Linked DNA regions of Pelodiscus sinensis. The protein of the gene in region 1 interacts with the protein of each later gene in a pairwise test. Links are inferred from orthologs where the notes say so. Each region holds a gene or a part of one and is shown on either strand. Other genes may lie near its edges.

Region 1 (8,008 bases):
CCAGGACGCTTGGCGCCCAGGTTAAACTGATTCTGGCTCGCATTGCAGGGCTAAGTGTAGACACGCAGGTTGGAGCCTAGACTATGCAACCTGGCAAAGGTGGGGGAGAGACTCATAGAACTGACCTGAGCCCTAACAGCTGTCCAACTATTGTGAGCCCTCAACCCACTGACAAAGCCTCCCCCTCCCCGAGACTCGGTGCTGTGGGTTGGTTGGTTTCATTGCAGTGCAGAGCCACCCTCACTGTGCGCCCCTTACTCAAGGCTGCTGTCCTCTAGCTCCCCACCTCACTGATGTTCCAGCCCTTTACATCGTTGCCGGAGCCCCATGCAGTGCACTCTGGGAAGCACAGAGCGCTGCCTGGGGGGAGGCGTGCACTCTCCCAGCAGCACTAAGGGCTGCCCAGCCCAAGCCCCCGCCCCTTATGCCTGAAGCCCCACCCCTTCTGGGGCACGGAGCAGCCCCCACCTCTACCCCGCCTCGCCCAGGGGCCCAGAGAGGCAGTCGGCCCCACTGCTGCCAGCCCATTGCATGGAGCAGCTACGGCACAGGCCTGAACCAGATAGTTGCTACTCATGGGAGGTGCACTTGCTGAAGGACTGAACAGCGAAGGAGAAGCCATTCCATATGGGCCGTCTCTCAGGCTGGCTAGACCCCTCACACTCACCCTGAGCCATTTGGGGGATAAACTCCATGACAGGATGGTGAATAGAGATTCCAAAATGACTCAAGAAGGTCATTGGAGCCTCTTTGGTTTTCTTACAGGAATGACGAACCAAGAAACCATCCAGCAAATCAGCATGGGCTACCGCCTCCCCCGGCCAAGCACATGCCCTCCGGAGATCTACTGCATCATGCTGGAGTGCTGGAAGGGCAACGCCGAGGAACGACCCGCCTTTATCGTGCTGCGAGAGAAACTCTGCTCTCTGTACAGACGGCTGCACAGTTCTCTCTCCTGACGGAAAGGGCATAATAGCCAACACCCGCCCCTATTACTTTGGGCTTTGGTTCTCACTCCCGCCCAGTGTTGCAGCATGGCCGGGGGCCTCCACCCCATTGGCTGACTCATAGAGGCCTGAGCCCAGACGGCTTTCTTGTGTGGCACGTGTCGGGTGAAAATACACAAGGCTTTCCTCTGGGGAGACACGGGAAACCAGGTTCCACTGTGGAGAAGGTGAGCCTCCCAGCTATGGTGTGACCGTGCCCCTGTCACACGGCAGGCCTCACCACCAAGGCGCCTCCTGCTGGTCACTCAGGGAATTAGCATTTTTGGGGCTGGAGCGCCCCCTTCTGGCTGGTGTCTCACCTGCTGTTACTGTTATTCGCCACCACTCCATGTCAGGGCCCATGGCTCTCTCAGATGGTGACGCCTTCCTACTGGGGTACTGCCCTACCACAGTGCCCCCACACTCTGGAGTCCTCCCCCTCTGGGGACTCTCAATCCCCCTATGCCCACCTTGCCTCAGTGACTCACTGCTAGTCTTCATCTAGCCCCTGCCTCAGGGCAAACTGCAGTCTGAAATGGCCACTCATCATTGGCAAGGGGTTGTGGACCTGCTGCTTTTGTGTATCCTGGTTGCCTTCCCTGCAGTCTGGGAGCTTGCCTGACCAGAGTTTCCCCAGCTCTGCCTGACTTTCCCCAGTGAGGCTCTAAATCAAGAAGCCTCTAGCTTCCCTAGCAACCAGGTCTCTCCTACTCCACAGCTGGAGCAATAGGGTCTCTGAGTCTTCCCCTCCAGGAGTTTGTATTTATACTGCCCTCAGTTAAATTGGCTCCTATCAGATACAGCTGCTGTCTCCACAGTTCCAACGTTCCTCCTGGGCTGGGTTTTAACACCTTTAAGGGCCAGTGCTGGGCAGATGCCCCATCACATCACATCACAAGAGGACTCATCCTGGTCGATGGGGTCCAGCAAAGCGGTCAGCATGGGCACAAGAAGTTCTGAATTTAAACAGCATGGCAGGGTTTCACCTGCTGCATTGAACGTGAAGTTTCCCCTTTTCGTTGTTGGAGTGAGTGAGTGGTTGACATGGACTTATTCGTGGTGTGTGTCTGATGGAGCCCTCAATCCATGAATGTAATAAACCCACCCAGTTTCCACAGTGCGGGCGGAGCAGGTCGTGCTTCAGTGTCCTCGCCAAGGGCAGTGTCTAAGTTAGCCGTGTTGTAGTCAACACAGCTTTATCTTGCTGTGAATCCCTGGTTCCTCTTTGGAGAGATCCATGCACCCCCCATTTGGGGCTCAGACTTCTCCCACTCTGCCTTGAACTGCAAGTTACCACCCCTCCTTTCTGCCACAAATTGGAGGGAGGGAGCTATAATAGTGTTCCTGTAACCATCATCCTTCCTCACCATTATTTATGCCTCATCTGTCTGCCATAGGCCTCTGCAGCACAGACGCCTGGTTTCTTGGTGTCCCCCAACTATGAAACAATAAACCATCATGAGCATCCCTAAGTTGTAGGCTAGGAGAAACTTAAAAAACAGCACATAGTCTGGTAGCACTTTAAAGACTGACAAAACATGTAGATGGTATCATGAGTTTTCGTGGGCACAGCCCACTTCTTCAGATGTGAGAGGTGAAGGAGAGCTAAGCGGGATCACCCTGTCTTTTAGCGCCACGCAGTGGCAGCCAGAAGTACTGCATTCCTTTTATTTGTCAATTGCAAATGTCGATGTTCTAATTGTACATTTTCCGCCTCTTTAAATACGAGCATTTTAACCAGAGTTCTCTGTATTTCTCATCAAAGTATCTGTGAAGCTTTCGGTTGGTTCCCAGGAGGATCTAGGAAAGGGTCCTCTTAAAAAATAAAAACCGATGTGTCTATCCATTTCTTATCGTACTTCCTACCTTTCTTATGCATTGGGATAGTTTGCAATTGTGGCCTTAATGAAAAATGACCAACTGTCCTGAACTTTTTTTTTCCTTACACTTTCTTCCCATGGGACCATACATACCAATTTGCCTCCTTGAAGTCCATCAGCCTGCAGCTGTTCCTCCTACCATTGCTCAAAAACTCTTATCAGCTTCCTGATTACTTTCTTCCAGCCCTCAATGTCTCAGCCAGCTCCTCCCTGTTTGAAACAATCAAATGTAGAACAGCCTCTTCCCTGGTTGCTTCCTCCACCCTTCGTAATAAAAAGTATCCGGTGCATTCCAAGAACTTGTTGGCTAATTGGTGGTCCCTCCAACATTCTCTTCCCAACAAATGTCTGAGTGGCTTAAGTCCCCCATCACAACCTAATGTGCGTTGGGTGGTTTGGTTAGTTGTTCACCTCTGCTTCCTGGTTAGGTGGTCTATAACAGGCACTTTTCATGACATCATTCTTGTTTACAACCCATTTAGCCTTACTGAGTGACTTTCAACAGGTCTGCCTCCCGCTTTTATCTTGATCCCAGTCAGAATGATAGGAAGTGTGGTAAGAGCCCACCGTGGCTTACCTAGGAGACTGTCAGAAACGTGAAACTCAAAATATAGTCATACAACAAGCGGAAACCAGGTCAAATTATGCAGGATGAGTTAAAAAAACACCAGCACATAGGGAAAAAATTTAAAAGGCCACAGCACAAAATAAGCTAGAGATATAAAGGGTAACAAGAAAACATTTTACAAGTGCATTAGAAGCAAGAGGACTAATGACAAGGTAGGGCCATTACTCAATGAAGAGGAAAAAGCAATAACAGAAAACGCGGCAAAAGCCAAAGCATTAAATGCCTTTTTGGTTTCAGTTTTCACCAAAAAATTAGCAGTGTTCAGACAACTCACAGTGAATAGCAATGTAAATGGGGGAAGATCCAAGGCTAAAATAGGGAAAGAACACATTAAGAACTACTTAGGCAAGTTAGAGGCAATGTTCCCTCTAATCTTTTCCATCTCTGTACAGATTTTTCCATCTAAGTGCAGAATAAATTTTGTTATATGCACCAAGGCTTGCATAAATGTGCACCACATGAGAAACACAAATGAGCTGTGGGTGCTCTGCTAATCATCTGGGTGGCATTGGAATCTCTCCTGAGTGGTTGTGCAAGTGTACAGCTTTCAGGGAACATTTGCTGAAGAAATTGCTGAGCCATTAGTGATTATCTGTGGGAACGCGTGGAGGACAGGAAAGCTCCCAGAGCACTGGCAAAGGGCGAATATAAAACCTAGCTATAAAAAGAGGACTACAGGCAATCCAGGAATTATAGACCAGTTAGTTTAGCTTTGGTACCCAGGAAGTTAATGGGCATAACATCAAACTTCGTAAGCACACAGAAGATAGAGGAGCAGTCAGCATAGAGTTGTCAAGAGCAAACCAATCCAATAGCCTTCAATGGCAGGGTAAGGAGCCTTATGAATAGGGGGAAGCAGTAGATGTGCTATAGCTCAACTTGATGTATAACAACAGTAACCGTGTAACTGATCAAAATTCTGTTGGTTACATGTTTGCTTGGGGACCTAGGAGTACAGAAGGATGCTGGAGGGGTACCCCTGTGCCCAGGAAACTGCTGCTGGCCCCAAACCTGAGGATCTGCCACCAGTGGGCAACCCAGTGCGCATAGGGTCCCAGCTGTCGCCGGCCCTGCACCTAAGGCATCCCAGCATACGTGCAGGCTCCCAGCTGCTGGCTCTACTCCTGGGGTCCTGGCTGCCAGCCCCGTGCCTGAGGCTCTGCTGCCACCCAGGACACTGTGTGCGGAGTTGGCAGCCCAGGATGCTGGGCAGCAGCAGAGCGCCAGGTGTGATAGCAGCAGAGACCCTGGCATAGGGCCATCAGCCAGGACCCCAGGAGTAGGGCAGCTGCACTGGATCTGGCCCACAGCCTGGAGGGACCTTGGCCACAGCTCCGGCAGCCCATGGGAACACAAGGGTTGCTGGGTAGCAGCAGAGTCTGGGCATGAGGTAGCAGCCAGGAAGGAGAAGCCCCAGGAACGGCATCGGCAGGCATGACCCGAGGCAGAATTTAATCTTTAACAGAAACTAGCGCGCATCAGGTGATCGGTTAACCAGTTAAATTCTTACATCCCTACGTGGGCTACTGTTTTGCGTGACCTACGACTAAGCAAACCAAGGAAATACAGCCTTGATAAGCCTACTGCGAGGTGGGTGCACAACTGGTTGGCATGATCATACTCAAAGACGAGTTATCAATGGTTCACAGTCCGGTGGGAAGGCCTTATGAAGTGGCCGGTCCCACAGGAGTCTGTCTGGGGTCTGGTTTTAGTCAATATTTTCATACATGATTTGGATAACGACAATTAGAGTATGTATGTACAGTTTGTAGCTGATGCCACGCTGGGAGGCATAGCAAGCAATCTCCTTGGAGGTCAAGATTAGAATTTTAAAAAATTACTCCTCGTGCCTCAGTTGCCCTTCATGCTACCACGTCCCACAGTTTGAGATCTGCAGGTGAAAAGCCCTGTATGGTCTCTGTCCAGCACCCCTCAAATCCAACAGGAAGTGTTCCACAGACTTCAATCTGGCCCCATAAGAGTGACAGGTTAGGGGGACCCCATCCAAGAGGGATGCACATACAGCAAAATGGCTCTTATGGGGCAGCTATTACATATGGCACATAACCGGGTAAGCCAACATCCTCCTGGGCCTCTGTTTTGGGGCATGAGAAAGCCACTGACCACGCCTCCTTGCCCCAAAACCAAGGCCTGGGTACTGCCTTACACCCTTTGGGTCATACATAATAAACCGCCTTTCTAACTTGCGTGAAATCCTTCCTCGGACTTAAGAATTGACGCTAAGCCTCTCAAATTCTGCTTTGTTCCCTTTTCCCTTCCCCTCTGCCTCTTTTCCCATTTTCTCTCACCTCCCCGTCCTCCTTTTTTACCCCCTTCACTCTCGTCTTTCTCTATAAATTCCTCTCCCTCTCTTCCAGGATATCATAGGCAGGGGAAGGCACAGCCTTCCCAAACCATCAGCCTGGCCCCACCCACACTCCACCCCCAGAACGCCCACTGTAGGCATACTGGGGATGGAGTGTTACTGCCCCCACCTCCCGCCATGCCCATGCTCCAGGACTGGGGAGGTTGGGGCCATACACCTTCCACCCTCCCCGTGGTGCTGGGGAGGGGTTGGGCTGCATGCTGCCCCATGATCCTGTGGTGGAGGGGACCAGGCCTGGGCAGAAGAGGCGGGGCTGGGCTTGCTTGTTTCCCCCAGCCCTACCTTCACCCACCGCTCATGCTCTCTTCTCTCCTAGCACCTCTGACCCCCTTTTCTCCCTCTCCTATGTAGCAATCTACAGCTGGGTGACATTCACTAAGGGAGTGTGATTGTGACCTAGCTAGTTCAGGGCCCAACAGAGAGCACGGCAGCCACCCAAATAATACCCCATGTTCCTGCTGGGCTTCCCAAGGCCAAGAGGAAGTCTGTCCTACCATAGTTTGCTGCTAGGGTGTGAGCTCTGGACTTTAGCTCCAGGTAGCCAAGCTTGCTCAACAGGGCAGGTGCCTTGGGCCCACCTGAGACCTGGGAGTCACACACTTGGCTTCCTTCTGCCCTTTTATTGCCAACAGAGGCGTGGCAGAAGGGCAGGGCAGTAATTGAGCTATCGAGTGCAGAGGGCGTTATTGCAAAGCCGCGTCTGACCTGCCTCTAGTCAGCTGATTTGGCAGAGTTGCACAAACACCTTCGGAAGGCAGCAGGAGACGCATTTCCCAGGGCGGCTCGGCACGGCTCCATAAAGAGCTCATGGCTGGAAGGCGATGAGAACCTCGTTGGCGTTGGCTCTTGGGAGACCGAGCGCCTGCCCTAACGCCGCGCCTCCGTCGCTCGGCAGCATGAATTCCAGGCTTGCAGCCCCACCTCTTTACACCAGCCTCTGGGACTTCGAGGCCAGGACACCAACAGAAATCAGTTTCTGGGCAGGAGAGCTTTTCCAGGTCACCCGGCGTGAAGGAGAATGGTGGTGGGCCAAGAAAGTCGATGGCTCACACAAGGTCCTGGCCGAAGGCTATGTGCCTTCCAATTACTTAGCTGAGCGGGAGACAATGGAAGCCGAACCGTAAGTAAAACCCTGCCGGGGTCAGCGACTTCACCCCCGTTTCATGCTGGAAGAGAAGTGGGATTTGGGTCTCTCAGCCACATGGCAGTTTAGCTGAGCCAAGCAGGTTGGTGTTTGCCTTGGCACCTGCTTCATATAAAGGGGCTTGGGTCTGTATGGGAACCTACAGCCCTTTTAGGAAGGTCTGGGTTGCAATGAAACACCCAGGCTGTTAGCCAGGGCAGCTGTGTAATACCCCCCAGGGGCCAGGCTAGAGAGAACTTATGGCTGACACCCATGTGCCCCCCATAGTCAGCAGAGCCGACAGCCTCCCTGGGCAAGGTGGGGGGGGGGGCAGCGCTGCACTCCTGGGAAGGGCGGGGCTAAAAAGAGAAGGGGCGGGGCTGAAGGCTGCCAAGTCCTTAGCACTGCCCAGACCACACCATGCAGCACTTCAGCAGCGATTTAAAGGGCCCAGAGGAACTGCCTCTTTTGCTCCCTCTGTCCCGTTGCTGGTCCTGCCTGCAGTGGATGATGCAGACGGCCTCTGGAAGGGAAGCAGGAAGGGCAGGATATGTGGGGCCCAGATCTCCGGCATGCGCTGGCTACCTTTGAGCCATACCAGTGACACGGAGCTGCCTTGGGGTGAAACTTCCTGGCCTAAATCTATGTCCAGGGCGTTGGGGTCAGGGTACTGCCCAAAGACAATACAGCGACCTCACAAGGAATCATAGATGCTGAAAGAGACCGGACCTCCCTTAGCACGAGGAGCATGTTGATAGAGCGGGAGCAGAGTCCTGTTCACTGAAGCAAGTTCTTGGTGGTTGGAGGTGCAGACCAGTGATACTGCGAAGACTCTCATTGGCCCCCGAGTTAGAGTAGAGCTAGGTAGGCTGGTGCAGATCTCTCTCCCTCCCCCACCATGCGTGCAGACATAGAAAGACTCCATCTCAAGACAAGTTTGTTTTCTCTCCTCTTCCAGCTGGTTTTTTGGGCAGATCTCACGTTCCGAGAGCCTACGCAGGCTGC
Region 2 (7,205 bases), on another chromosome or scaffold:
GGGCCCCAGGCCCGGGGGTGGTGGCAGATCCGCCTCGCAATCATCCCCCCCCCCCCCGTGCCTGAGAAAATGCAGTGTTTGTCATTTGCAAAAGGGGGGGGGGGCGAGCCTGGCCAGGTGTTGGGGAGGCGGGATGGGGGGGGAGCGGGCAGGTGCACCCTTTGCTGGGAAGGCGCTTGGAATGGGTTTTGCAGAGTCCTCCGTGCCCTCCCCCCACCCCTCCTCCCGGACTCACTTCCTGCCCCCGCCGAGCCACCTGCCTGAAATCTCCCAGCCCCACAGGTGGGGGGCGGGCGTCCCTGCTCTCCGGTGAAGGTCACGGGATGGGGAGCCGGAGCCGTGCACCTGCCGTCTGCCCCTGGGGCGCCTTGGGGCTGCAGCGTGCGGGGTTAGGCCATGTGGGGTGAGCGGTCGCCCCTCCACCTGGCTCGGGCAGTGAGGATCCAGCAGGATTTTGCCTGGTGGGGAGTGCGAGGGGCGGGGGAGGGTAACCGTCTTCGCCAGCCCTTGTCTCCGTTGACACCTGAGCAACTGCGCGGCGGCAGCTTGAGGGGCGCGTGGGGGGGCGGGTGCAGCCCCGAACGCGCCCGCTGGCTAAGCGCTCTTCAGAGGCGCCGGTTAGCTGTGCGGGGGCCCTGGCGTCAGCCCCACCCCTGGAAGCCCCCGCCGCACGACACCGCTGACGCGGGGCGCTGGGGGGATGTGGCTTGTGGGCGGCCTCTCAGCACCGTGCCGGGCTGGGCTGTTTGCCAGGGGGCTCGTGGGTGGCTGCATCGCTCCCCATGATGCAGGGCTGGGGTGTGTGGGGGGGGGGAGGGGAGGGGAGGGGGTGCTGCGTTTGCCTTCTTGCATGTTTCATTCCTTGGGGTCGGCTTCTGCTCTGTCCTCTTGGTGCACGGGGACCCTTTGAGAGCCCGCAGTGTGTCTGGAGCCTGGGGCTGGCGCTTCACATGGGCGGGGCTGGCATCGCGCTCCCTGCCCTGCCCTGCTCCTCTCCCATCCTGGCTCGTGCCGGCTCTGGTGCAGGCCCCGGCAGGATTCGAACCTGCCGTCTTCAGCACAGACCAGAGTGAACCGAAGCGGGTAAAAGGCGGCAGCAGTAGTAGAGCGTTATCCTCCCGGCACCGGCCGCTAGAGGGCGACGTTGCTCACTCTGCAGGCCTGGCACCCTTGCTGTAGCCCTAGGCTGGCAGCGTGGTACCCGGTGGCGCCCAGACCCACCACGGCTGCTAACAGAGGGCTAGCTTGCCACCCCTTGCACCCTCCTCCCCTCCGCTGAGTTTCCAGGCCAGTTCTGAAGCCTCAAAGCGCCTCGTGTGGGTCTGTTGCTGGGCTGGGTTGAAAGCTTCGGGGGCCGCTTGCTCCCACCGCACCGGAGGGCAGGCGAGGGGGGACCGGCTCAGCGCCGGGCGCGTTCTCCTATCGCAGCGTCTCCCTGGGCCCGGCTCCAGGCCAGGGCGGACCTGCCCTGCCGGCGCCTGAAGCTGCATGGGCGGGGCAGGGCCCTGCGCCGGTCGGGTTGATGCGCGTTTGCCGGGGGACTAGTTGCCCGGGGAGGTTTGGCAGCTGCTCCGGGAAGGGGGGAGACGCAGGCCTGGTTTCTGCTCCTTGCCTGCGGCTCGGCGGGAGGTGCTGGCAGCGCCGGGCGGCTGACACTGACGTGCGTTGTTTGTTGGTGCGTTGCTCGGCCTCGGCGCATCGCCTGGTTCCTGCCAAGCCTGGGGCCCCGTGGGCCCAGCCCTGCGCCTCTCCCTCCGGCATTCGGCTTCGCCTGGTGGCAGCCTGGCCTGGAGTGACCCCGGGGAGCACGGCGTCTGTTGCTAGCTGGGAGTGCAGAATTCCTTCCCCAGCTCCGCCGCCCCTCCTGGGCTGATCCGGGAGCCGGGGACCTCTCCCGGTGGCAGACGTGTTTGGCTGGGAGGAGGGGGCGCTCCTGTGCCTAGAGCAGGGGCTGAGGGATCGGGGGCGCTGGGGGTCGGGATTCCTGTGCCCTAGAGATCAGAGCATGTGGGGTGGGGGGAAGACTCCTGGATACCGTTCCAGGCCCGGAGCGAGTTCAGCCGTTACTTCACCTTAGCGGGGCCAAACGCAGCCCTGGCAGGAGTCTGGTGGCAGGAGGAGTGAGGCCTCTAGGAGCTGGGTGGCTTGGTGCCTCAGTTTCCCTCGCTGGGTGGTGAGGCCTAGGAAAGCTACAGGAGATCTGCGAGGGGCAGGTGCCTCTGGCCTTGCCTTGGCCGGGGGGGGGGAGTTGCTCCTCGGGCACCCGGGTAGCCAGCAGGGGGTCAGTGCCCTGGGGGGGGTGTGGCAGTTTGCAGTTCTGGCCCCAGGCCAGGGGGGAGTTCAGGAGCCTGGTGACACGGGTGAGAGCCTGGCCAGCTTCCCCGGGCCCAGCCTGCGGGCTTTGGACCCAGTGCCTGCTCGCTGGGTCCCTTTCTCACCCGGCTCCATGGCCCTGAGCGAGCTTGTGGCTTCTCGGTTCCGCTGGGGCCTGGGTGTGGGGTGCCGGGTGGGGGTACCTCTCGGAGCCGGGGGAAGGTGGGCACGAAAGGAGCCAGGGGATGTGTCCCTTCTTGGGTAAAACTCTGGGCCAGGCTGGCAAGCAATGTCTCCATTTGAGCAGGCCCCGGGGGGGGGGAGAGACTGAGGCACCCCCCCCTCGGCTCTGTAAGACAGGATCCCCCTCTCTCTCCCAGGAGCACCCCCTCTGCCGCTGCCCGGAGGCATGGGGTGGGCATCCGGGGCAGAGGGACACTGGGGTGACACACGGGCTCTCGCAAGCCAGCTCCTCCAGACCCAGGTGCCCTGCAAGTTGCTGGACGCCTGCGGTGGGGCCAGGCCTGGGGTGAGCAGCATGCGGGGTGGGGGGCCTGCTGCCGAGAGGGGCAGGGAGGCAGCGGGTGACGGGGGGATGTTCCCAAGCGGAAGGCTGCTCCCTGCCCAGGCTTTTCCTGTTTAAATGCCAGCCCCGGGTGTTCCCTGGCCAGCTCGGGGGCCCTGTCCCAGGCCTGACGGCTCCCCGGGGCCCAGCGGGGCCAGGCTGCGCCCCGTTCCCAGTTTGCTCTGGGCGTTGCCACCCTCGGAGGGTTAATTTTAGCGCTTGGGAAATGGAGCGATTGGCAGGGCGGGTGGGCATTGTCCCAAGCCTCCCTCTGCGGCAGGTCGAACGGAGCCCCCCCCACCTTGCAGGGCTGGGCCCCCCCTCAACGCTGACCCGCAGCCCCCTAGCACCCGCCATGGCTGCAGGGGGGTGGGCTGCATTTGCAGCCCTGCCATGCGGATCCTGGCAGCGGGTGGCACCTGTCTCGGGGCACCCGTGTGGCCAGGGCTGCTGGGGCCTTTGGATTCGTCGGCTCCCTGTCGTGCGGCCCGTGTCTGCTGGCAGGGGTGGCGCCAGCGCTCTGAGGTGCCTGCTGCACCTCTGCAGCATTTGGGGGCTGGGGCCATCCCAGCCTGCCTGCCTGTTACCTGCATGAGGTGCGTTGCTGTGGGTGGTTCTGCAGCTGCCGCGTTCCGTCCCAGAGGTGGCTGCCTTTCACCGCCAAGCAGGGATCATGTTCGGCCTCAGCGCGACCAAGCGGGGGCGGCTGTAGAAATCCGAACCCGTTGGTTGGGGCAGCGCCCTCCAGGTAGGGGTGGGGAGCTGGCGATCCTGGCCACCCCGGAGGGCGGGGGGGGGGGGGCTGCGCGGGAGCCAGGCACCATGGGACGTCAGGAAAGTGGGATGCTGGGGTTATCCCCTCTGCTTGGCTGTTGGATGCCAGCCCCGTGCTGTCATGAGCCCGCAGGGAGGCGGGATTGATCGATTTCCACTCTGCGTCCTTTCTCCCGGAGTGGACTCTGCCCCGCTCCTGTGTGGGTCGCCCTGGCGGGTTAGGCGGGAGGCTGCTGTGGGGAGACAGGACTGGCAGCGCCCCCGGGTGCCTCACGGAGAGCGGATGGGGGGGGGGGGGCAGGCCGGGCGAGAACATGACTAGGCCAGAGACAGCAGGGCCTAATGGGTAGAGCTTTGGTCCTGGGGACTCGAGAGCTCTGAGTTCTATTCCCAGCTCCGCTGGGTGACTCAGGCCAGTCACGGTCCCTTCGTGCCTCAGTTTCCTCTCATCATTCTCCTTTCCAACGTGCCCGGAGCCCCGTGGGCGGGAGGTGGCGTGTGCAGAGCGCCGGTTTGGGAAATGCCCCACGCTGACGGCTGCGCACTTGTGTCAGGCCTGTGCCCGCCAGGGCAGAGGAGGGGCTGTAGCACCAGGCTGGGCCAGCGGCACAGGGAGGGAGCTGGCCCTCACAGGTGCTGGTTCCACTCCCCCCGCCCCCCTCCCTCGGGCCCCTGCAGCGGAAGTAGCACTGTGCCGACTTCTGGTTTCTCTCTCTTGACAGGGCTGGGTCCCCTCGCCAGGAGGACAGAGCTGAGCATGAGCCAGCCGGGACCGGGCGCCCCTCAGTGCTGGGTGAGTCCGGTGGCCCTGGGGCGGGGGGGCTGCCTTGGTTGCAGATGGGGCCGGGGCTAGAACCCAGCGGTGGCTGCTGGTCCCCCAACCCCGGGCCCCGAGAGACTAGAAAAATTGAGCGCGCAAAGATTTCCCAGTTTCCTGTTTTTCACTCTTGCAGGGAGGGGGAGGGGCAGGTCGGGGAGCGGGTGAATGAGTTGGGGGGGGCCGGGGCTGGTCCCCCCCGCCCAGCAGCGGTGCCATGCGGGGAGCCAGAGACTCCAGGAGCAGGTGACGCAGGGTCTGGTTAGAGGCCAGGCAGGTGCGTCCCCCTACCCCGCCGTGAGCGAGAGCACTAGGGGCCGAGGGGCTTCACGAGCCTCCCCTCGTGTGTCCCAGGGACCCCTCTGAGCTGGGGACCGGCGGGGGCAGCCGGGATTCCTGGGGGCTGAGAAGGGAGTGGGCTCCCGCGGGAGCCCATGGGGAGGGAGGGATAACGTCCCAGGCTCCGCTGAGTACTGGGGACCAATGATGACTAAAAGGAGGGGTGCTGGTCACAGGTTCAAAACAAGGGAGCCAGCTGGGGACACCGAGCAGAGAACCCCGGCCAGCGCCCGCTGCTCCTCAACGCTGTGACTGGAGCCAGTGGACGCTGCCCAGAGGAACTCTGCCGGATACGTGCCACGAGGGAGGAACGGAAATAGGCCCCCCAGTCGCAGGGATCCCCTCGTCCAGGATCCCCCTCCTGGTGTTCTAGCCGGCGGTTGGCTACAGCCAGGAGGAGGCCGGCGAGGAGGTCCTGCGCCCTTGTGGGGCCCGGATGGGGTGTGCGTAGATAAAGAGGGGAAGGGAAAAGTGCAGCCAGAACCTTAATAAGAGGTTCTGGAGGAGCCGGACTAGGCGCCGCTACCTGGCGCATTCGAGGTAGGTGTGCGCCAGTGTTTCCCTCACGCCACACAAGGGGCAGGCGTCCAGGATGGGGGTGAACCGCGCCAAGTACACGCCCGTGCTCACGGCCCCATGGAGGAGCAGCCAGCTAGTGTCCCCGATGGGCTGCGGGATTAAGGCAGAATACACACGGGCACATCAGGGTCCCCCATCCTCAACGGGTCTTAGGTAGCCCTGCCCTTGGTATCGGGGCGGGGCACGAGGGGGGGATGCAGAGTACGGAGCACGAGCGTGTGCAGATGTTCTCTAGGCGCGGTTCGAAAGCCAGCCGGCTGGGGGTCCAGGGATGGGGAGGCTGGGGGGGCCCACGGAAGAGGGGCCAATAAGAAGGGACGGAGGGTTTGCGGGAAGGGAGGGGCAGGGCGTCCCCTCACACAGGGCTCTGTAGGAGATCGAGAGTGGGCCGCGGCAAGGGGGGTAGGTGCAGGGGGGTTCGGAGGGTGGAGAGATCCACCCAGTCCCCCCTGTTGTAGTCTAGGAGGTCTCCGACCTTGGTGGTTTCTGCCAGGATCAGCCTCCGGCGCGGCGCGGGAGACTCCGCCACCTGCTCGCACGAGGCTGGGGGAGAGGATGGGGAGCTAGACTCCTTGGTTCTGTTGCCGTTTCCGAGTCGTTCTGCAGCCTTGGGCAGCGCCCGCCTCTGTGCCTCAGTTTCCCCACAGGGAAACGCGCCCGGCGCGTGCGGGGGATGTGGTGAGCAGCTGCCTGCAGGGTGCGCCGACGGGGCGGGAGGAGGTGCCGGAGGAGCACGGCACAGCCTCGTTCATTATTCAGCTGCCTATCCGGTGTCAGCACCTGGTCGCGTTCCTCTCGCCTCTCCTCTGTGCCGGCTCGGGCCAGCCTGAGGGAACCATCCCTGTGTGGGGGGGGCCGGATCCAGGATCCAGAACCCCCTGGGTTTGGGGAAAGCCACCCAGGGGAGTGGGACGGGAGGGTGTTTGGTGCCAGGCCCGGTGTTGTCGGCCCTCGGCGGGTGTGAACAGCCTATGCCGGCACCGCCGCTCTCCTGGCTCCCGCGACTGTGGGATAGAAAGAGCAGCCTGTTTCCATGGTAACAGCCGCATGGATCTGCGAGCTGCTTCGTGTTTTAAAAGAAACGCGAGTCGCTCTGCCCCCCGAAGCACCGCCAGGCCACGAGGGCCTATCCCCGCTAGCCTGCGGGGACCGACGGGCGGCGGGCTGGGCCCCGCTTTGAGGAGGGGAAACTGAGGCACGGGGCTGCCCTGCCTCATGCAGGGAGTCGGTGGCAGAATATGAGAGGGAAACTCCGGTCTCGTGAGAGGCGCTGTGCCTTGAGAGGAAGGCTTCACATAGCAAATCGGCTCCCGGCTTGGGAGTGGGGAAACTGAGGCACCAGAAGCCTGAACAATTCCAGAGAACGGAGGCATCCCAGCTCCCTCCGTGTCCTCCTGGAGTTGGGGTTGGAACCCAGGTGTCCCAGCGCCCCTCTAGCAGCTCAGGAATGTTCCCACCCGGGGGGGGTGATGTGTCCCCTCCCCGAGCGGAGCCCCCCTCCGTCCCACGGTGCCCCCCTGGGGCGTGGCAGGGAGCAGCCTGCCTCGGCCTCACCCCGTGTCTGTGTTTGTCCAGAGGCCGGCCACCTGAGCGGCGGGGGGTGTCGGCCCAGCTCCAAGATGTCCTGCTTTGCGGAGCATTTCTGGGTAAGTGTTCCCGATGGGCATGGAGAGGGCTCCGAGCTGGGCTCTTCCGTGTGGCCCCTGGTCGCTCCCCCAGCAATTGGGCTGTGCTGTGTGGCTCGCTGGGGCAGGGAGGGGCGTCTGCCCATCCAAAGTATGGCCTGGCCGCAGGGGGGCCGGGATGGGGGGCAGCCCC

What was found.
Region 2: the proteins of PTK6 (region 1) and FCHO1 interact in binary tests that used the Homo sapiens proteins (3 or more experiments, as listed by UniProt). The two-hybrid records come from large-scale screens. The link is inferred for Pelodiscus sinensis from reciprocal best matches to the Homo sapiens genes PTK6 and FCHO1.

Annotation. Positions count from the first base shown.
Region 1 is NC_134728.1:5,756,520-5,764,527, forward strand, and holds the start of PTK6 (protein-tyrosine kinase 6), read left to right. Parts: upstream 1-4,750; 5' UTR 4,751-6,701; coding exon 6,702-7,000; intron 7,001-7,961; coding exon 7,962-8,008. Other genes in the region: tyrosine-protein kinase Srms, read left to right, coding at 766-959. UniProt on the Homo sapiens protein: Non-receptor tyrosine-protein kinase implicated in the regulation of a variety of signaling pathways that control the differentiation and maintenance of normal epithelia, as well as tumor growth.
Region 2 is NC_134729.1:17,886,720-17,893,924, forward strand, and holds the start of FCHO1 (F-BAR domain only protein 1), read left to right. Parts: upstream 1-3,966; 5' UTR 3,967-4,172; coding exon 4,173-4,285; intron 4,286-4,374; coding exon 4,375-4,445; intron 4,446-6,962; coding exon 6,963-7,033; intron 7,034-7,205. UniProt on the Homo sapiens protein: Functions in an early step of clathrin-mediated endocytosis. Has both a membrane binding/bending activity and the ability to recruit proteins essential to the formation of functional clathrin-coated pits.